Linked DNA regions of Rhinolophus ferrumequinum. The protein of the gene in region 2 interacts with the protein of the main gene of each other region in a biochemical or structural test. Links are inferred from orthologs where the notes say so. Each region holds a gene or a part of one and is shown on either strand. Other genes may lie near its edges.

The links. The genes of interacting proteins can lie anywhere in the genome.
Region 1: the proteins of BMP7 (region 2) and ACVR1 form a complex in vitro, tested with the Homo sapiens proteins (2 studies listed by BioGRID). The link is inferred for Rhinolophus ferrumequinum from reciprocal best matches to the Homo sapiens genes BMP7 and ACVR1.
Region 3: the proteins of BMP7 (region 2) and ACVR2A are reported together in a solved structure, tested with the Homo sapiens proteins (2 studies listed by BioGRID, with this or other methods). The link is inferred for Rhinolophus ferrumequinum from reciprocal best matches to the Homo sapiens genes BMP7 and ACVR2A.

Annotation. Positions count from the first base shown.
Region 1 is NC_046291.1:63,997,888-64,005,189, reverse strand, and holds the start of ACVR1 (activin receptor type-1), read right to left. Parts: upstream 3,009-7,302; 5' UTR 2,495-3,008; intron 1-2,494. UniProt on the Homo sapiens protein: Bone morphogenetic protein (BMP) type I receptor that is involved in a wide variety of biological processes, including bone, heart, cartilage, nervous, and reproductive system development and regulation.
Region 2 is NC_046306.1:4,557,401-4,565,193, forward strand, and holds the start of BMP7 (bone morphogenetic protein 7), read left to right. Parts: upstream 1-5,301; 5' UTR 5,302-5,311; coding exon 5,312-5,729; intron 5,730-7,793. Other genes in the region: collagen alpha-1(I) chain-like, read left to right, coding at 1,842-1,893, 4,377-4,613, 4,766-5,301. UniProt on the Homo sapiens protein: Growth factor of the TGF-beta superfamily that plays important role in various biological processes, including embryogenesis, hematopoiesis, neurogenesis and skeletal morphogenesis.
Region 3 is NC_046291.1:71,832,124-71,839,881, forward strand, and holds the start of ACVR2A (activin receptor type-2A), read right to left. Parts: upstream 3,009-7,758; 5' UTR 2,485-3,008; coding exon 2,430-2,484; intron 1-2,429. UniProt on the Homo sapiens protein: On ligand binding, forms a receptor complex consisting of two type II and two type I transmembrane serine/threonine kinases.

The DNA of each region.
Region 1 (7,302 bases), on a different chromosome or scaffold from region 2:
AATGAAATTAAGCTCCTCACTTCTGAAATTACAGGCATACCTGGTTGGATTGTGTGTCACTTTATTGTGTTTCACAGGTGTTTCGTTTTTTACAAATTGAAGGCAAGACCCTTCAGCAAAAATATTACTATGACTCACTTTGTTGCAATACCCGCTTTATCTCACTTTATCTCGGTGGTCTGGAACTGAATTTGCAATACCTCCAACTTATGCCTATAATTACAATCCTAAATGTAGCATACTCCTCCATCTTTACTCCACTTCCTTACTATTCTCTTAAAATTATTACTTAGAGATAACAAGAAGCTTCTTTGGATTCAAATGATCACTCTCTAACAAAGTACAAAAGTTGTAAAACTACTACCTAAATCAAGTTTTATTTAAAAACACTCTCTACATTTCAAGTAAAACTCACCCATAGTGCTGGAAAAGGAAAGCAGGAACCCGGTCTATACCCATCCCAGCCCTTGATTTTTGCCCTGTCTCCAAAGTTTACTGCAACATCATTCATCACCTTTGAGTATTTGCATGAGGGGTGACAGTACAAATGCTGTTATCCAACACACAATTCCATCAGTTTAAGGCCTACATATTTCAGCTTTAAAAGACTTCCTTTTTTTAATTCCAGGACAGAAAACAGAAACAAATGAATCACAAAAAAGTGATTTGGTCTTGGGGGCGTCAGGGATGGCTCAGTTCGTTTAGAGCATGAGCTCTCAACAAGGTTGCCAGTTCAATTCCAGCATGGGATGATGGGCTGTGACCCTGCAACTAAAGATTGAAAACAGCGACTGAGCTGAGCTGCACCCTCCACAACTAGAGTGAAGGACAAGACTTGAAGCTGATGGACCCTGTTTGGAGCTGATGGATCCTGGAGAAACACGCTGCTCCCCAATATTCCCCAATAAAAAAAAAAAAAAAAAAAAACAGACAGACATAGCTTTAAAAAAAAGAGTTAATGTAAGAGAGGACTGAGTTTAAAAAAAAAAAAAGTGATTTGATCTTAAAAGCTGGGTGATCCAAGTCCTGTCTAGACCTAAAGTAACTTCCTGACCCCAATGTCCCCATCAGTGAAATGTGTGAGGCCCGTATTTCATACTTAAGCATACTGTAAAGCTGGACGGCAAACCCAGTGTCTGAGGTCAGCACAAGTCTAGTGTCCGCTGGCTGCCCAAGCCCGGGCCCCTGGCCAGCCACCCACCTCCAGAGACAAGTGCCAGGACATACTATAGTGCTTCCATTTAAGGCCCGCCACTTAGATCAGCCCATCTCTGAAATTTCTTAACACCATCTTTCCAGGAAGAATTTTTCTGGGAGAAAAGGGAGGTGGTGTCTATTTTTTGCCACCGCCTTCCCTGGGCTGTCAGAGCAGTGAACAGGGACAGGGTTCTTTAAAACCACTGGGTTGTGTCTATGTCTCAATTGGAGGTCTCTTTTCAAAAATATACAAAATATGTATGAGGTCAATCATTTTTCTCATCATCTAACTCCCATCACACACACCTCAAAAAAAAAAAAAAAAAGCCCGAAAAAAATAATCAATCCATTGTATTACTTTGCTACCTCTCTCCAAAAGCTAAATTAAGCACAACTTTTTAACCCAAGGCTTTTCTTCTGCTACTAAGTGGAATGTTATCTTCCCTAAGTAGCTTCCTCTATAGCTTCTCTCCTATGCAAGAAGTATTCAAAACTCCAGGGAAAAGGGAGGGGGGAGACATATAGTGCACAAAGTGGACAGAGCTGAGCCCGTCTAGAACCCAACAGAAGGTGGTGAATAGGGCAGCCCCAGAGACCCACATCTCTCCCCAGCGCACCCAGGGTTCTAGCCTCACTGTTTTTGTTACAGTGTTGAAGGAAGGGTTTTAAACTTGGCAAAGTACCGTGCAACATCTGTAACCACATTTGCCTTCTGGGGATCGGAAGATGAATCCCACATTCCTGGCTTTGAAGCTTTTTGAAACTGCAGCTAGGAAGAACGGAGAGGGAGGGAGGGAGTTGAGCAGAGTTTATTGGCTGTCTCTCCAGCAGAAAATTCCTTTTGGAAGCGACGGATATTTTGAGGGTGGGGGTGTTTCGCCCATCTCTTTACTCCCTACCAAGCTCAGCTAGGAAGGTGAGACCCGTGGTCGGGCGGCCAGATCGATTTACAAGTCAGAGGCGCACAGACTGAAGGAGTTCAACACACACACACACACACACACACACACACACACACACCAAACCAGAGACCCCCCCCCCCCCCCGCCAACACTCCATGCCTCTGCCCTCTCCCATAGCCCACCAGCAGTTCAGGCCCAACGCAAGACAGTTTTGTTCCGCGGCTGCTTCCCCCACCGAGAGGGGATCGAGCTTGGGGGAGAAAGGAATGAAAGCGAAGGGGAGGCACCGCAGACGCCCACCCTCCCACCCCCAATCCCAGCCTCTTCTCCCGTTAGGCTCCCTCCTCCCTCGATCCACCCGGCTCCGGCAGGCTCGGCCGGCGACCTGCCCTCACCTCTGGTCCCGCCGCGGTCGGGGGCTGAGCCGGGGGAGGCGGAGTGCGAGCCAGCCGGGCGCTGCAGGTCGGCGCGGCACCGGGCGGGCGGCCCCGGCGGGCGCGGGGCGGGGCGCTGCAGCCGGCGGGGGAGCCCGGAACTCTGCGGGGCCAAGGGCCGGCGGCCGGCCCCGAGAGGAGGCTGCAGCGGAGCGGAGCGGTGCGCGGGGCCAGGCGCTTTCCAGTCCGCGGGCCGGCACGGCTGGCCGAGGAGCAGCCCGGCAGCGGCGGCAGCAGCAGCGGCAGCCACCCCGGGGAAAGAGCCGAGGGAGGGAGGGGAGGCGGGGTGAAGAGGCGGAGGAGGAGAAGGAAGGGGAGGAGGGCGGGCGGAATAAACTTCCCGAAGCGCCGCGGCACGGGCAGGGAGGACGGCCGCGGGCGGGGCGGGCCGGCGGGTGGGGGCTTGCCCTGGGGGCGTTGGGGGAGACGACCACAGAGAGTAGAAAAGTTCCCCCAGCGCGGAGGGGGAGGTTGCTGCGGCGGCGGCGGCTGCAAAAAGCAGGAGCCGGAGCGGGAGGAGCGGGAGGAGGAGGAGAAGGAAGTGGCTGCGGAGCGATCGGCCAATGAGTGTCTGGAGCTGTGATTAACCAGGCAGCAACACATCATTTCCTCCCGGCGCAGATCCAGGGAGCCGGGAGGGAAGGGGAAGGCAGCGGGGCGGGGCGGTCCCCGCGCCCCCTGCAGGCGCCCGGCCGGTGGCGAGCTCGCGGAGTCCCGCCGAGCCTGACCTCGTCGCCCCCGGCGCGCCCCCGCGCTGTTTGGCGGGGCCGGAGGAGGCGGCGAGCGCGCCGCCCGCGGGTCTCCTCGGAGGCGGCGGGGCAGGCCCCAGCCGGGCTCCCGCGACCGGGGTGGGAGGAGGAGAGGCGTCGCGGCGCGGGTGAGTGCCCAGGTAGGCGCGGGCGGGGCCGTCTGGACAGCTCCCGGGGTGAGCGGGCGGGAGGTTCTGGCTGCCTCCCGGCCCCGGGACTGCGGGAGGCGCGCGGCTGGACTCCTGCTTGTTAGACTTAGGCTGGATTCTCAGAGAGAAGCCTCGGCATTCACATCCAGGCCATTTCTGACCTGCCTTCAAATCCCCTTCCACTTATTTCCTCGCAAGGTCGGATTATGCTGGAGCTTGCCATTTCTCAGTCGGCCTCCTTAGTAATAAAAATATGCGGGTTGGTGAGGGGAGGAGGCTTCTGCAGTAGTCTAGCCCGGTCCTAGGCGCCATGGGAGCTTACAGTGGAAAGGAAGAAACATTCCCCGCCACAGAGAGGCTGACAACCTCGGTCCTTAGATACACGAAAACACTCCAGTGTGCTAATATTATCCAGAGCATCAAAAAGGCATGCAAGGATCAAATTTTGCATGGTGCCTGCTGAGTGTAAGGAAAGCACTAAACCATTTTCTCTGCCCTCTAGAAGCTTATGCACAGTCCTATCACAAAGCAAAATACAAGCATGAAAGCCATAAATGGGAATACCATAAAGTATTTTTATCTCTACAGGTTCATTTATGCAGCAGGCATTTATTGGGTGACTGCAGTACTGCAAAAGATTGCAAAGGAAATGGAAGATCTGGGCCCTGCAGGTCAGGAATTTACAATCTAATGAGGAACACAAAACATACATAGATGAAACAGCTAGAAAATAATCCCCAGGTATTACAGAAGCAAGAAGATGGAGAAGGCTGGGTGCTTTATTATTTTTTTAAAGGGGAAGGGCTTTGTTCCTATATAATTGATGGAGATCTGGAGAGGAAATTCCAGGTCAGATAAAGCAAGAGTGCCTATATGTAGTCTTGCTCTTTAGAAGAATATAACAGGGATATCAGTGTGATTTGGTTGAAGTGTCAGCCGTGGCCACTTAGAAACTGTGTGACCTTGAGCCCATTTTTAACCTCTGGAAGAAGGGAATAGAGCCTGTCTCATGAAGTTTGTTGTGCAGTTCAAATGAGATTAGACACATGTGGACGCTTTTCAAGCTGCTGTGTAAATGTTCCTAAGTCCTGTACATTTACGGAGTCCTCATTTTACTGGCCCTTTGTTGGTAACCTTCTCTTCTAGTCTGTAAGCCCCATGAGGGCAGGGACCAGGTTTGGCTGTGTTCACAATGTATCACACCTAGCAGAGTAGCACATGTGGGTACTCAATAAAGGTTTGCTGAATAAGTGAATAAATGAACTAATGAATCCTGTTGTCCTTTTAACTGTTCCTTCAGTAGTGGTTCCTTCTTGTGTGACTGGTTCAATGCAAAAAAACCTTCTGATTTTTCCTGTGACTAATTTGTATTTCAGGAGATTATCTGGGAGGATTCTGGGTAGTTCTTGTAGACTTGTAACATTGATCGGTTGATTTTCTGTGTGTGTGTGTGTGTGTGTGTGCGCGCGTGTGTGTGTAGAGCAGGATGATACACAAGGATACAGCCCTCCGCACAAGCCCTGTCCACCCAAGGATACACCCCAAATGCAGTTCTTTGGCTTAGACACCTTAATCCAGGGTTTCTCAACCTGTGTACTATTGACATCTTTATATGGTAGGATAATTGTGTTGGGGTGCTTTCTGGTACGTTGTAAATATCTTTGTATCATCCTTGACCTCTATCCAGTAGATGCAAGTGGGACGCCTTCCTTCTACAGCTGTGACCACTAAAAATGTCTCTAGACATTGCCAAATGTTTCCTAGGGGGCAGAATCGCCCCCTGTTGAGAGCCACTGCCTTACCCCACATCTAATCCATTGATTTAACTCTGGTGGAAAACAGACCAGTAAAGTAACTTGGACGAAATACATCTTCTGTTATTCTAAGATTCTCAGCTCTCCTCCATCGTATGTTTCAAGGAGCACGACTCTAGTTAATTAACTGCCTGCTGCATTGTGAATTGGCATCTCCTGATTTCTGCATATCGTCCTCCTTTATGCCCAGATCAACATGTTCATTTCTAAAAGTCAACAGCTTTCAAAAACTATTAGGAAACAGGGTCTTGAGCAACCTGAGAGTCCTGTACAGTATTTTCCTATAAAATTTGGGGAATTTATTTCATAAAATTTTGCAGCAAGCTTTCTCATTACAGTTAAGCTCTTCGACTTAAACAATAACCACAGCCTCTCTGCACTCAGATGTGATACAGAATATAAATTGTAATTTTTAGAACTGATTTCATTTAAAATAATTGAAGTACGTAACTAAAGTGAGTGACTTCTTTTATCTTGAAGCCATTATTTTGGTTCTAGAGAGAGCTTTTATAGTGTTATAAGGGAACATGGTTTATTAAAAACCTATAAAGCGAAAATCAGCTTAGTTATACATACTAACTTCCAGCAGCAAATTCTTTAGAAGAATATTGGGGTGTTTGAGAGCTGGTGGTATTGATGAGACTCCTGACAGATTAATGTGCTACAGTTCAATTTCTAAAGATTTCTTGAAGAAAAATAAAGAATAATGGTTAAAGTAATGAGCAAATGTTAATAAGTCTGTTCATTTAGTATGGGCACATAGAACCAAAAATAAACCCTGCTCCTATCAGGCAACAGTACCAAGGTTTCTGACGTGAGCAGACATTGGTGTTCAGCAAAACAATATCTGTCTCGTTAAATAAAGTTATTTGAAACACTAGGTTTATAGTTTTGTTCATATTCAATTTTTCTATAGTTTTCTAATGGTTTCAAGCATATAGAGATTGGTTTACATCTAGTTTAGTGATTTTTCACATTGAAGTTGAACGTTGAAGACTAGAAACAGCGTAGAAAAAGGGCAAAGTTTGAGGGTTGGATGTGGCTTATGGTAAAGTGATTCTCCTATTTCTATTTTGTTAGACTGGAACTAGGACACATACTCTTAGGGGATCTCCAAGTTCTTTATGAAATCCATGAAATTTGTGCTTTGGCTTCAGTTACAGTATTTTTTAAACAAATTAATAAATTAACTATGATACATATTCATGATACTATGATACTAGATCATCTGAATGTCTACCATGCAAACGATTTCGCTATCCTTTTTGGCTATGTACCTGTAAGAACATGCAGCTTATTCAAATAATAATTGCAATAAAAATAATTTAAAGTATCAATAAAGGTCCATGAAGATTCTGTTTTTCCTTTTAAAGCTGTCTATACATTATTCAAGCATGAGAAATACTGACCCAGCTGCATCATAACTATTCTTGGAGAATGATGAATTCAATGTCCTTGACATCTGAAATTTAGTCCTAATCCTGAAGCCCATAAAAAAAAAAAAAAACCAGTACTGTGTTCCAAAGATCTAAGTGAATGGATCAGAATACTAGGGGATGGAAGAGAAAAATCAACCTGAAAGGGTCACTACAAATCCTATCAGGCCTGGCTCCCTTTTCCCCAAAAGGTAAACATTTAACCAGTCAGGACAGACACTTATTAATCTTCCAGTTAAACTTTCCCAGGTGTATGAAAGACTCATTAATTGTTCATTTCATACAAGACTTTATTGGCTGTCTACCATATTCAAGGAACTGTTGGAGCTACACGGGGAGTCCTCAAACAGCCCTACAGTTATTTCCCACTTGGGAAAGTTAATACAGTCACCTCCTGGCACAGCAGGTTACATGCAAACCAGTGTGTGGCTATGGGCCAACCATGTGATAAAAGAGACATCACAAAACCATTACAGAAAGGAAAGATTATTCATTCAAACGATGTTGAAGCACTTGGGGAAAATCCTGTTAGTGCTTCCTCTCATACCATTTCTGAAAATATTTCCAGAAGGAATAAAGAGTTAACATTGTTTTAAATGACAAATTAAAGCAAATATAGTC
Region 2 (7,793 bases):
TAAGACTAATAGAAGCTGTTTAGTATTAAGTTGGTGCAAAAGCAATTGCGGTTTAAAAGGTTAAAAAAAAATCGCAAAAACTGCAACTACTTTCACACCAACATAATATCTTATTGCTCTGTTTAAAAAAATTGTCAAGGAAAGCCCCAGAGTGGCAAGCAGTGAGTCCGCAAGCAGTGAGTCTGTATCTCCAGGGCAATGAAAGTTTGCCTGGGAAGCTGCATTTCATCACAGGTGTGCTACAACGGTTTCCTCTCCAGAGTAGATCGCTTTGCACGCAAAGATTTTAAAGCCTGTGCACGAGGGGGCCCTTGCCTTCTAATCCCTGGAGGTCTGAGGCCCAGGTCATCAGGCTTCGGCCAGGTGGGTGGATGGAGAGAGCAGTCCTCAGGTTCCCTCAGCTGTGCTGGGTGCCCCTGGGGAGCCCCCAGGCCAGCTGAGCCTCCTCCCGGGCAGATGGTAGAAGAGTTCTGCCCATGAAGATGAGGTCCCCACCTCCCGCTGAACGTGTGTGTCAGCAGAATTCTTTTCTTCTTTTTATTGCCTTCGGGACACATGCTGACTTGGTCAAAATCGCTTCGGCAAGATGTGACTGATGATGTATGAAATGAAAACTCCTTGCCCAGTGCTGGGAGGCCAGCGAGCGAGCGAGGGGTGCGGACACTTGGCTGGGGCGGGCCAGACACAGTAACACCCCTCACGTTTCCAGCCCATCTTTCATCCAGGCGAGCTGGCCCCAGGTGTGGAGCAGACTGGGGCAGATCGGGTTACGGCCTGGGAGTCCAGCGCTGGGTGCCTGGGCTTTGGGAACCACAAGTGGGGGTGGCTGCTGGGGGAAATGGGATAGGCCCGGGAGAGTTCCTGGGCCCTGGATGGCAAGGGGTGGGGGAGGACAGAATGCAAGGATTTTCCTTCCACCTCCAATACTACTTGTCTGCTCTGCCCTCTTGTTCGCGGACTCCTGCACCGGATCTCTCAGAGTCAGGATAAATTTGCTTTTCTCTGCGTGGCTAAAAAGCAGACCATCATGAAACACTGTGTTGTTATTTTTAAACTTAGGAGGCTTTCCTGTTAACATATTTCCCTTTTCATCCAGATGGTGTGTAGCTGACTTTATCAAGTGCTTACTCTGTGCCCCAGGCACCTTGCAGAGTCCTTTACATGAATTGAATTAACTTCTGAATCCTCCCAGCAACCCTACAAGACAGCCACTATCAGTCCCCCAATGACACAGATGGAGGAACTGAGGCACAGAGAGGTTAAACGCTTGGTGTGCAATTGGAAGTGGCGGGGCTGGACTGAAACCAGGTGGGCGGGCTGCTGCCTCTCCCCCGACTTTCTCTAAACAACTGTGAAGCCTTTGCTGGTGGCCTCAGTTCTCACATCAGCGTCTGATGGAATCCCTGCCTGCGTGTTTGTATTCATTCATTCATTCATTCATTCATTCAGAAAGCTTTCTCTGAGGGCATGGTGACGTCTTGGGGGCTCCTTTGGGGAGAAAGCAGGGAAAATAAAGAGCCCACCCCTCCCCCAACATGGCTCACAGGAAAGAGAAGGCTAAATAGGGGGCTGTGGGAGTTCAGAGGGAACCTTATCTCTTCTACCATGTTTCCCCGAAAATAAGACTGGGTCTTATATTAATTTTTGCTCCCAAAGATGCATCAGGGCTTATGTTCAGGGGATGTCATCCTGAAAAATCATGCTAGGGCTTGTTTTCTGGTTAGGTCTTATTTTCAGGGAAACATGGTAGGTCTTGGATATGGAAAGCATGTTGTTTCGTCATCTTGCGTGAGGAAAGATGGCGTCCCCAAGGAAGGGCGGTGGGGGGAAGGTTCTAGGAGATGCCTCAGCCTGGCGCCTGCACCATCAGCCCTCAGTGCGCCATGCTCCCAGGTACTGGCTGTGCTTCCTAGTATTCATTCAGCAGGTACTTACTGAGCACCTGCTGTATGCCAGGTTCAGGTGGCCTCAAATGAGATGCACAGAGGGGTGGCTGGGGGGTGGTGGGGGGCACAGGGCAGATGATGAACAATCAGTTGTTTTTCATATGCAAATTGGTAGCACCCATACCTGCTGCCCCCACCCACCCCAGCCTCACTTGCTGGTTAAAAAATCTCCCTGCAAAGATTTGAGAGTGGATTAAAAAGCAGAGAAGGCTGCTGCAGAGGAATAGCATTTTAGGTTTTGCTAAGAAGCAACCACCTTCATCTCAGCTGGCATTGGAGATGGCAGGGCTGTCGCAGTGGCTTTGCCCTGGGAGGCAGGGGCAGCTCTGGGCAGCCTGGCGTCTGCTTCTGACTCTGCGGGCTGTGCCCTTGCTGGTCGCTTTGCCTGGGATGCCGTTCCCAGGGGAAGCCTTCTCTTTCTCACTCTCCCAGGATCCAGGCCAATGGCATCGCCTCCAGGAGGTCCTCTTCCCACCTCCCACCATGCCACCTTGTTTATTTCCCCGTCACTTATCACAGGCTGAAACCATCTGGGTTGCACACTCTCTAGTGGACGCTGGACGCCAGCCAGCACCCCTCCGCTGCCTCAGAGGGTCCCTGTGTCAGTTCCCCCCTCCACAGTGCCCATCCCTGTCTTTCCTCCTTGTGACCCTCCTGTGTGTCCCTCCATTGCACGGCCACATCCTTCCCTGAGAGAATCCGTGGACAGGCACTGCCTTTCCTCCCGCCCCCAAACCAGATCTGAGCTTCTTGCTTTGTCTCCTGTGGCCTGAAAGCCAGCCTCACGAGGGAGGCCACCCTGGGGGCCTGCTGCGTGCTGCACCCTCCAGCCCAGCACTGTGCTTGGCATTTTCAGGGTCCAGCACAAAATGAAAATGTGAGCCCTTTGTTCATAGATTACTAAGAGTTGTAATATGGCAACAGTAAAGCATTCACTACTGACGTGTGGGACCCTTCGGAGTGTGGGGGCATAGGTGCCTACATAGATTGCACACCCGTGAAGCCCACCCTGACACCGAGGAAGTGCTCAACAAACCTTTGTTGAAGGAAGGTTGTCAATGGATGAAAGGCAAGTGGAAGGGTGTTCAGAGTGCCTTGATTGACAGGTGAGCAGAGGCCCCGCCCTGGGCACTGGGGATTCAGGGCGGGTTCTATCTCGCAGCCTGGGGCCTATGCCACACGGCTTGCCTATGTGATGTGAGTGGCTGGGACCTGCAGCCTTGCATTTCTCTTCTCCTTGCCTGGACTCTGGCCTCTCCTGTCTCCACCCAAGTGGCCCCTCAGGCTGCCATCTTGTCCAAAAGCCCCCATAGGGCCACCTGGCAGAACCACCTCTGTTCCAGGAAAGCTAGCAGACCTGATTCCTCTGTACTAAGTAGCTCTTGGAATTTTCTCCCTGCTGCTAGATGAGGCTTAGCCAGATCCCCTCCCAAAGGAAACCCCGTCCCAAATTCATCCCTTGCCTTTCATCCCAAATGCCCTGGGCTGACGCTCCATCTAGCCCCTTCCAGGGGAAGCACAGGTTTGTGGGGCAGCCCCAAGAGGGGAAGGAGGCCTGGCTGAACTTTGACCCAATGGTCCTCACTGCCACGCTGGAGAAGTGTGATTTTGATCCCGTATTTACAGAAGAAGAAACCAAGGCTCTGAAGAGCAGTCCTCTTACTGTTCCATAACAGGTTCCACGTTGTGTGGGGGACCTGTGCCCATGCCCAGTGTGAACTTGGCTCAGCGGGTGGTTCCCTATTGTTCGTGGGGTGAACCAATGAGGGGAGGGAAGAAAGGAGGCCAGGAGAGGCTGTCTGTCCAGTGAGGTCCCCAGCACAGACCCCCGGCGGTGAACTGGATGCAAACTGGATGTCAGGCAGGGGCTGATGGGGAAGGTCAAACAGTGGTTGGGGCTGGGGGTCTGGTCTCAGGCGGAGGTGTGACTGGAAATAAACTGGGCCCCAAAGGGAGGAATGCTCCAGCTCACACAATGTCATTTATTTATTCAAAAAACAGTTGTGCAGCCCTTGTGGCTGCCAGGCCTGGGGTTCAAGGCACTTCCGGTACAGGGCAACTGAGAAAAGCACCGACCTGGTCCCCCAGAGTGTTGCATTTCTAGTGCGGGAGACAAGACGATAAAGAAAGCACGAATAATTCAAACAGTGATTCCAAAGGGTGAGAGGAGTTCAGGAAAATTAAACAAGAGTGTGTGTGGGGATGAGGCGGGGAAGGGACCTTAGCTACGCTATTCAAGGAAGGTCTCCGGGAGGAAGTGGCACCTGAGTGGCACCTGGAGGTGGAGAGTCGGCCAGCCCAGCACTGATGAAGGCCGTGGGGGAGGGATCAAGGGAGGGCAGAGAATCCTAGGCAGAGGGAATGGCAAGTGCAAAGACAACCTGGCGACAAGTTGGAGGGGCACAGCGGGGTCAGAGGCTGGAGTGACAGGGAGGGGGCAGAGCGACAGGAGGGGCTGGGGACACCTCCTTTGGGAAGCCTTCTCGGATGCTCGCGCCCCCTCGCATTCCCCCAGCTTCTTCCACCACGGCCCGAATCCCACGAATCCAGCTCAGGCCTCCTTCCCGGTCCGGATTGCGAATCCCGGGAGGGGGAAGGCCGGCTCGGATTCCTCCCTCGGCATCCCTGCGGCGCCCGGCCCGGCGCTGGGCACCCTGTGGGCACTCGGTAAATATTTGTAGAGCGCACTAGAAGGAATGAATGAACCCATTGGGCGCAGCTGGGGGGAGGGCGGGGCCGAGGGCAGGTGGGAGGCCGCGGGCGCGGGAGGGGCCCCTGGAAGGCCGTCCTCCTCCTCCCCTTCGTCCTCCTCCTCCCAGGCCCCAACGCGTACCACTCTGGGGCTCCCGAGGCGGCCTCTCGTGCGATCAAGGGCTCGCAGGGCCGGGAGAGCGACCCGGGGTCCCTGCTCTCCGCGATCGGAGTTCGGAAGAGGGTGGGTCGCCTCCGCCCGAGGGCCAGAGCGCGAGAGGAGCGGGAAGAAGGAGCGCTCGCCCGCCCGCCCGCCGTCTCGCCGCCTCCCCGGCGCTCGCTCTCCGGGCTCCTAGGTTTGCTGGCTGCTCCTCCCACCCGCGCCCGCCTCCTTGCTCGCTTGCTCGCTCGTTCGAGCCGGTTTCCAAGCCCTGCGGTGCGCCAGGGCGAGTGCGGGGCGAGGGGCCCCGGGGCCAGCGCAGAGCCGGGGGGCGGTGGTCCGGGCAGAGAGCAGCGGGCCGGGGAGGGGCCATGTCCGGCGCGGGCGCCGCGGGGCCCGTCTGCAGCAAGTGACCGAGCGGCGTGGACGGCTGCCTGCCCCCCTCCGCCACCTGGGCCGGCGCGGGCCCTGGGGCCGGGTGCCTGGAGCCCGGGTCGCGCGTAGAGCCGGCGCGATGCACGTGCGCTCGCTGCGCGCCGCGGCGCCCCCCAGCTTCGTGGCGCTCTGGGCGCCCCTGTTCCTGCTGCGCTCCGCCCTGGCCGACTTCAGCCTGGACAACGAGGTACACTCGAGCTTCATCCACCGGCGCCTCCGCAGCCAGGAGCGGCGGGAGATGCAGCGCGAGATCCTCTCCATCCTGGGCTTGCCCCATCGCCCGCGCCCCCACCTCCAGGGCAAGCACAACTCGGCGCCCATGTTCATGCTGGACCTGTACAACGCCATGGCGGTGGAGGAGGGCGGCGGGCCCGACGGCCAGGGCTTCTCCTACCCCTACAAGGCGGTCTTCAGCACCCAGGGCCCCCCTCTGGCCAGCCTGCAAGATAGCCACTTCCTCACCGACGCCGATATGGTCATGAGCTTCGTCAACCTCGGTGAGTGAGGACAGGCGGAAGGGGGTGAACGTCTGGGTCAGGAGGCGCTTTGGAATAGGGAGGCGGGGGCCGCTTCTTAGGTCCAGCCCGCCCATCTTTCCACGCCGGCCCTTTGCAAAACCATAGTGCCTGGCCAAGAGTCTCCTACCCCCGGTCCGAGTGGACCCCAAGCTGTGCGCGCCCTACTGTAGGGAAAGCCAGGCTAATTTGGCCTTGTGGCGTTTTGGGGAGCGAAGGACCGGTCCGAAGGCCCCTTCGGGTTAACTTGGCGGCCGCACCTCTGGAGAAGGAGGCGCCCAGCGGCCGCGGCTCAGTTGAAAGCGCGGGGCTCGGTCATGTGAGCTGTGCCGGGCCGGCGCGGCCCGCGCTACCTGGATTTAAAGGGCCCTGCTCTGCGATGCTGCCTTCCCGCCCTTTCTGGGCCCCTCTCAGCCCTGCCGAGCCCTGGCATCCCGGGCGTCGCGCCCCCTTCCCGGCCTTAGTAAGCCCTACCTGTCCGCTCGCGGTGCGCCTGCCCTAGCGTGCTGCGCGCCCTGAGCGCCTCGGGTCCCCTCTCCTGGCCGCCCCCCTCGCTCTCAACTCTCCTGGCTGGAGCTGGGGAAGAAACGTTGCCATTGCGAGCTTTCTATTTTAAATATTTAATGATAGGTCCCGGGCGGGCAGAATCCATTTTCAGCGTTTATCACATGTGGCGCGCAAACCACGGCTTTTGGCGATTGGGTGGCGCGGGATCTCGGAGGAGACGCCGCCGGGGGCGGCTGGGGGACCCGGCTCGGAAGTGGAGCCGCGACGGCCCGGGGGACGCGAGGCTGGGGCTGCGGCGGGGGTGCGGTGGCTCTCCCTCCATCTGTGCACGCACACTCACCAGACTTGCTCAAACTAACCCCCGGCAGCGCGCTGTAGGGCTGATGATCAAATATTTGGTTTCCGAGATAACACGCCCCGATAGCGCTGTTTCCTGAGCCGCTTTCATTCTACATGTGTAACTTGCTGCGAAAATCCGAACAGAGTCAAGACAGCAAACTTACGCCCACGGGCGCTGTGTCAACATGGAAATAATGATACTCAAGCCCCCCCCCCCCCCCGCCGAGCACAGGGGGCGTGGATGGAGGGCTCGGGGAAGCCGGGATCACCCTTAATGCTTCCCGCTCCAGATAAGGTCCCTGGAGGTCCTGGGACGCCATTGTCTTCCCTTAATAATAGCCAAAAATCAAACAGTGAAACAAGTTTCAGCGAGCAAGGGGTGGGAGGTTTAGATGCCAAAATAACTTCAAGAAAGTTTAAATTATACTAAGCAGCCTGTTAGAACGAAGCAGCTCCATATGTCCCGGTTTAGAACAATCTCCAAGATGTATGAGGTGGAAAAAAGCAAGGTGCAGATGAGTGAGGTTACATATGTGCTTGTAGATCATCCCTTCCCACTGGAAGAAACACCAGGAACTGGAAATAGATTTCACTGGGGGGTGGGGCGGGCCTGGCCGCTGGGGCTTAGGCAGTGGGAGCTGGGGTCTGAGCTTTTCTTGCCTGCACTTTTGTCTGTGGCTTTCTGTTTTGTTTTGTTTTGTTTTTACAATGTGTATTTATGACCTATACCAGAAACTAAAGAAAAAAATCCCAATACATACATATACATAAGTAAGTTAAAGCAGAGCTCTGTAGCTGTCCTGAAGCCTGGGTTAATCAGGGCCCTTTCTCTGGCCAGAATTTATGGTATCCTGTTCTGTTGGGTACCCATGACTACCTGTGAACACAGCAGGTCCCAGTGGCTGCCTTCAGAGCCTGGCTGGGCTCATTAAAAAAATATTTGGAAGCCCTGGCTTCTGTGGAAGGCTCTGCAAATCCCATGCAAAAAGCACCATACTTAGCTCATGGACCAATAGCAGGGGCAGACCTACGGCTCTCCCTGCCCCCCCACCAGAGAAGGACTAAGTTACCAAGTGGGTACCCCTGGGAATCTTAGGGCAGGGTTGTTTGCTCCCCCTTGGTGGTGGGAGCAAGCTGAGACTTGTTTGGGAAGGCCGCAGCTGGGTGGTTTTCCTCCTCTGGCTGTACACACACCTTTCA
Region 3 (7,758 bases), on a different chromosome or scaffold from region 2:
CCTAGAACAAGAGTAGGAAATTATACATTTGGCCATACCCTACAAGAATAGTCTGCATAATCAGTCCTCAGAAAGTGAAAAATCAAAGTCCACAAGTACTAAAGAAAACAGTAAATATCCATCCTATACCTGAAATAAAATTGCTCTTTACTACTATTCTCCATTTGATAAAAAAAATAAATAAAATAAAATACCCAGAAACAAAAAACTGAAACCTTGAATTTTTTTCAATTCTCATAAAAATAGCCATCCTCATGCTCCTAAACATGCCAGGTTACAAATTACATAGAAAAATCAATTAGGAAAGAAACATAATAATCCTTTTATAGACAGCATTTGACTTATAACAAAAGACCTTTAAAAAAAATCAGACATTTTAAGTACTAAAAATCTTCGTGTATAAATATGGATTAAAGTCTTTACGATTATTTCAATTATTTTCAATAAAATTATATTTTAGTTCAACTAGGAATGTTTATTTAAAAAACTATGTAACAATATTTAATACTAGTCTAATGTAGGGAGAGCATCTATATGTTCTATATGAACGAATTATTTCAAAATTAACCTCCTGGTTCAGTAAAAATAATCCTATAAAAAAATAATGCTCAATTATTTTTACTCCCAAACCAAGCAAAGGGAGCTGTAAGGTCTGTAGCGACAGCCTGCTTTTCCAGAATACCTCCAGACTGCTCAAGAATAACCTCCTGCACCAATTAGTGTTACTCAGGTGAGCCTGAGAGAGAATAATGTCCACAACTCCTTGGTCAGTGGCCATGATGCCCCTCCTACTCAAGGGCAGGAGATCAGAAAGAGGCATTTGAACAAGAGAAGTTCACCAACCAGAACATATAGGGGCAGAGGAGAAAGAGTAGTACAGGAAAAATACAAACCTCATGGTTAAACCATGTTTCAAAAGCAAGAGATTTAATATTATCAAGGTATTCATTCATTTCAGAGACACCACTGTTTATCTTCCTCCCCTAACGGAGCACAAAAAGAACTGTCAGCCTGCTTTAAGCATGTTCCTTCTTCCATTTAAACAGACATGATTCTTTTGGTTAATCTCTGGCAATGATCGCCATTTCACAACACATTCAGCCCACCCGGAACTGATCAATACCACTACAGACATGAGACTAGACTTTATCCATTTATTAACCACAAGGAAATGTACCATTCAGCAAAATTCTATACATTACAAAAGATTCTATTAAAAAGGGGGGTGGGGAGGACAGACCAATACGGACACACACACACACACACACCCCACAGAGGTACACAAAGAAAAGACTACCACCCTCTAATTTCCCTGTGGCAAATGAGATAAAGATATGGCCATGAAACCTGTCAATTCCTCCTCCCACCCCCCATAATTCTCTCTCACAACCTAGTTACTGAATATTGAATTTTATGTTAAATAGATCCACTGCGACTTTAACATTATTTCATCTACCAACCTAACTCTTCTGTTATGTACATTTTGCACACCTTTCAGCTACATGCTGTATTCTTTTGTAGAATTTCAAATACAAAAGACTCGACAGTTTTCCAACCACTGGTTGCAACCATTGAACGTTCTCACAAAATCAAAATTTCAAATACCAAAAGGCCAGATTATTCTCCCAACCTTGGGGCAAAACCTATTTTATGACTTCAGTGCATCTGACAGTATGAACAATTTCAAATGGGCTGTTCCAAATGGAAAACAATGCTTCAATACAACGCGTTTAAAATAAGTATTCCGTAGGTAAGCAAAATCTCTGCCAGAAAAGAGCACATAAATGGTGGTTGGAAGCCAGCATATTACCAACACGCAGCGGCATACCTCTTCTGCACTGGGTTATAGTTAATACTTCAACAACAACTACAACTATTTTTAACACTGCTGGACACTGAAGTTGAAGAAAACGTGAGGGAAGACCCAGATGAAACCGCCGATATGATGCATTGTTTCTCACGGTTAAAATTAAGTAACAACTGACTTGATCTCTGCCCTGATAGTCACTGGTGAAGCACTAATTAAAAGACGATTTAAGAAACCCTTATTTTGGAGGATGCCACACTAAATGACATGTTGGAATACACCTTTCGGGTCTCAAACCTTTGCATAAATTGTCACTTGTGGTATTTGCGGCTGAATTGCAACCCAACCAGCGCTGTCATCCAGTGTTATGGCCACAAAACCATGACTTTCTCACTTCCACAACAACAGTCACTCTTATCAGTTACTAACCTAACGCAAACCGAGGAAAATTCATGGAGGTTTCTAGATCGCAATCAGACCTTGGGGGTGGCAACCTAGGGGCTCGGGGTGGGGGGAAAAACTCCCCAGCCTCCACTGGAGCTCGCCGACCCAACAACAACCGCGGCCGCCAGCAGCGGCAGCAGCGGCTGCAGCCCCGCCGCGACACGCTCCATGCACCTACCTGAAGAACAAGAGATAAGAAAGACGGCAAACGCCAACTTTGCAGCAGCTCCCATTTTCCCGAGGCGCCGGGGAAGCCGTAGGAAGTTCTCGCTAGATATCCAGTTCTCTAGGTCTTCCTCGGAGACAAACCTCCTGGTGTAAAATCAACCGTCATAAAACATATTCGGAAGCCCCGACCAAAAAGAAAAACGTTCACGGGGTTAAAAAAGAAAAAAAAAAAAAGCACAACAATAAAAAAAAATGCACCACGGGGGAAAAAAACCGCCACACACACGCACAACACACAAAACCAAACAACGAAAAGCCAACAACAACAAAAGCGGGTTTAAATCACTGTCAAAATCACTGTCAGCTCGGCTCGCCTCTCGGGTCTCTCGGAACAAAACGCCAGGCTTAGGCGACGAGGCGGCGGCGGCGGCGGCGTCCGCTGCCGCCCGGACAGTCCGGGAACCGAGCTGGGTCCGACGTCCGGACCGACCTTCAACCCGGACACCCAAAGTCCGCGGACCACTGGCGGCTGAGCTCGCGGCGGTGGCGGCCGCGGCGGCAGCGGAGCGGGGAAGGAGCGGCGGGCGGCGGCAGCGGCGGCGGTGCAGGCGGCGGCCAAGTTCTGGTCCAGGCTCTGGCTCCGGCTCCGGGCTCCGGGCTCGGCCGCGTTTTCGGTCCCTTGGCCTCCGCCGGCCCCGCCCCCTAAACTTCCGGTTCCGGCCCGAAGCTGGAAGCCAGGCACCGTGAAGGAACGCTCCGCGGCGGCGGCGGCGGCGGTAGCGGCTGAGAGGCGCGGCGCGCGTGCCGGGCCGGGAGCGCGAGGAGATTGTCGGGGAAGTGAGGCGGGAGCGGGGGAGGGGTGAGAGCGGGGGAGGGGTGAGAGCGAGGGCGGGGCCGGCTGGAGGGCGAGGAGGCGGGGCGGACGGAGGCTCGATACCGCGAGGCCTCGGCGTCCGGCCTGCTCGGCCTGCTGGGCTGTGCGGTTCCAGTGGGTGGACGAGTGGCTACGGTGGGGTTCCGGAGCGCCAAGTAGCGAACTCGCGCCCCACCGGCCTCTCGGAGCGCACGCCCGAATGGTCCGAGGGAGCCCAAGAAGACAAGGACCTCGAGGCGGGGCGGGTGGTGGTGACTCCTCCAGGGGGGCGTCTGCGGCGCCCTGTCTTTCCTCTGGGGGGACGCCTCGTCCGCTCCGAGACTCCGGGCGCCGGGAAGCCGCGGGTGGGAGCCGGTCCGCCGTGCCTGCCGAGCTGCCGGAGCGAGCTCGGTGCGCGCGAACGGGTGGGTGTCTGTGCCGCCCAGTCTTAGCGATGCATCCCACCCCGGTGGCTTAAGCGTTTTGTCTCTCGGCTGAAAAAGAAAAAAAAAAAAAACCTCGCGGAGGATGGGCTGTCCACCCGGTCGGGATATCCACGGCAATTATCACGATGTGCAATTTGAATCCATTCCCACCATCCCTTTTAGTACACAAAGCATTGTGTTGAGAGCTGTTCTGCACGTAATAGGTTCGCAAATATCTATTGCTCGCTGAAGAGGAAACCTGCAGATTTTGATCGACGTGTTTGATGGTCAGACAAGTGTTTACGTTTTCAAATTTTAGGTTTTTAGGGCCTATTTTCACACTTAGTCGAAGTTGATTGCTTACAAGGTGCTGTGCTAGGCATGGAGTTCGATCCGAAATGTAAAAATAGGATCCCTACCCTGAAGAAGCTCACAGTGTTTGCTGTGCTCGAAGTGTCTGCCGAATACAAACTAAAGTCAGTATTAAAGATACTAGCTTTGTCATTTACCACACTTTAGCGACCTGGGTGAAGGTAGGGAGGGATCTTATCTGGCTTCTTCCCCGTTTTATCTCAACACTTAGAGTGTCTAGCCTATGATGGGTGCTTAATAAATAATTGCATAAATGACTGGCGGGTAAGAGCCGTTTTCTTAATCCTATATTCTCACATGTACTCTCCGAATGTTTTATTAATAAAAATAATAAAGCAATTGTACTGTATGGCTAATTCATCGTTTGCTTGTAGCTTATGAATTCCCACATTTTTCCCACAAAGCCAAGCCTTTTCCCTTGTATTTACAGTGTTTTATTTTTCTCTTCTTCTGAATTACTCTGTATTTCTGTTAAGTTCATCCTGTAATTGTCTGCCCATTTCTACAACAGGGTTATTAGCAATCATTGTGGCACTTTAAACTCTCCAAGAGTTTAAAGTTTTCAAGTCATGGTGCTCAGAATTTGATTCATGTTGTGCAACAGTTAAGAAAAGTCCCAAGTTGATCTTCAAGGTATCTAAATGATCTCATATTATGTAGTTCTCTGGACTTTATGAGCTGTTCAGAGGAATAAATACAAACCTTCCATTAGCTTGTTGAATTAAGACTTGCTGCTAACGTTTCTGGAATGGAGAGTGTGTTTCATTTAGAACCACCTTCAGTTCAGGAATTTGATGTCGGTTATACCCTGGATCAGGCCCCACTATTGTCTTATCTCTGCATCACTTCAATATTTTTTGAATTGTGAAACCAGAGCAAGTGGAATAACTGGAATAACCAGTAATAGAACTAAAACTTGAAAATACATCCTTTATCTTACCACCCAAATTCCCCACTATAAGAATGTAAGAAAAGATGAAAATTATTTTTCTGTAGTATGAAAGAGGAGCAATAAGTCAAAGTCTTCACTAGAATATTCTTCTCTAATAAAGAGTTAATATAGCACCATGGGAAAAGTTAGATTCCATTACCGGTAGTTATCTACTTTGTTCCTAAATCTGTGTTTACCCCACCTTCTGCATTTTTTAAAATAATTTAACCTATTAAGACATAAGAGTACGTGACTAATTCCCACTGGAATTCCAAAGCTTAAAAAGGAGACAGAGGTAAACTGCTGCTGACCCTATTGCCCCTCTTTCCTTCCTATTTTCTAGAATCACTGTTTTTTTGTCCTACAAATCCAATACCTCTCTAACACAGTGCAAGCTGTACAAACTGGATTAGGAAGAAAGGTGAGGAAAAGGAAACACGAAAGGAATTCTGGTCTCCCATAGCATTAGACATTATGTGTTAAACAACTTTAGCTAACAACTCAATCCCCAAACCTGAGACCTGGCTTTGTAGCCAGTCCAATGATAGAATTTCAAGTTCAAAGTCCCCCCCAAAAAGTTCAATTGAACTTCAAATTATTCCCAGCTAGAAGAACCTTGAGAAGCCTGTTCAACCTAGAGATTCAAGTGTGTGATGGCTGGATGAGGGGACAGGTAAATTAGGGTCACAGACTGCTTCCAGAATGAAGGATGGTTTCTTTTTACCCTAGAAACTGATATATCAGGCTCAAAAAAGTATGGACTAAGCTTAAACCTTGAATTCTAAAGAGAAGCTGGAATTGAACTTGCTTTTGATATTGGGTAGTATGGCATATAGTGGAAGGAAATTCATCTTAAGGTATTCACCTGCTTTCGGACGTAACAACAGCTACATATAAGCAACACAAACTGAATCTTTCTTCATCTTCCCACAAGGTGGGAAGAAAAATTCCTATATCCTAGCTTTTGCTGTTATACCTCTCTTTCTACTTAGGTCTATCCATAGCATTGTGCTGTACCAATGAGGTAAAAAAGAAATACTGAGAATATGGATGTGAGAATAAGTGAGGGACAAAACATTAAGGCAGCATAGTCTAGGACAGAAAAGTGAGAATAGTTGAAGAGAAACTAGTTACAGTGGAAATAATGTATCCAACACTGATGAAAAGGCTACACTAAGCTAGTAATATAATCTTCAGTGAGATTAGTGCAGACATTGATAAATGCTTTAAAAAATTTTGTAGAAACTTGACAGAATAATTTTGTGTCTGCTGAAGCTAGTAATAAGAAAAATTGGGCTGGTATTTTTGTTTTTATTTTTTGTAATTCAATTTTATTGTATTTTACAAAAGTCTCGTAGATTGGAAATTCACCACAGATAATTTGAAAGGCACTGGAGCAGAGGACAGGCAATATACGCAAGACTCTCAAAAATAGTGCCCTCCATCCATTTTAACAAATGATTAAAATGTTGAATAAAGCTTTGATGCTATAGTTCTAAAATTCTATAATGCAAGACTGCATAAGAATTAGTCATTTTTACTACATTGTCCATCTTTATCTGTGGTATCCACTTATTCGACAAGTAACTATTAGCTATAGGATTTGTGCTAGCGATTGTATAGCGAAGTGCAATGAATATAGTCTCTGCCCTCACTGAGCTTACAGTATCAAGAGGAAGACAAAAACAGCAAGTAAAAAGTAATTTTCAAGTGGGAAGGATTATTTATAAAATCAGACAGGATGCTGAGATAAAGAATAAGAATGATGGGTTAGATAGAAAGAGGGGACCTATTTAGAGACAATGTAAGTTCAGGAAGAACTTACAAAGGAAGTGGCACTTAAACCGAAACCTACAAAATGAGACAGCCGTGAAAGGAGCTAGTTAAGAAGGAATAGTATGTACAAAGCCTATGATATGTTCAAGAAATTGAAAGGAGGCTCTCATGGCAACGAGGAGAGTGATATAAATAAAGAGAGCAGTACAGGCCCACACTATGCAAGATCTTGTAGGCCAAAGTAAGGTCCTTAGATTTTATTCAAAGTAAAGCATTAAGCCATTGGAGAATTTTAAGTAAAAGAGTTGTGTGGTCTCATTTATGCTTTAGAAGATTACTCTGGCTTTTATCTGGAGAACAGGTTGCAAGAAATTACCAAAGAAATTAGAGAGACTAGTTAGGGTGTTGCAGTAAGTCAGGCAAGAGATTATTGGTACTGTGAACTAGTGTGGAAAGAAGTGGACAGATTCAAGATCTATTTTGTAAGTAGAATCAACAGGACTTACTGATGAATTGGATGACTCCTACTTTTTTTTCTTGAGCAAATGAGTGGACATGGTGTCATTTGTTGAGATGGGGTAGATTGAGGGGGAGAGAGACATTATAGGGAAGGGAATGCAGACACGAATAGTGAAATTTTTCAATCTTGAAAATGTTAAATTTGAGTTGCCAATGAGACATCCAAATGGAGATATAAAGTAATTAGTTGGATGCAGGTGACTGAAGTGTAGAGGAGCATGCAATTTCTACACATAGAAATTTGGGAATTGTCAGCACACAAATAAATGGTATTAAAGTTCATGGAAATGAATGAGAGCCTCTAAATGGAGAGTAAACGCGAAAAGAAATTTAGCAAGCAGAGGATTAACAGTGAGGAACGGGGATGAAACAGTAGCACGGAGAGAGATGAGATAAAAAACCAAGAGAAAGATATGTCATCCATGACAGTGTTTTACAAAGGGTGATAGAAGTGGTACTGACT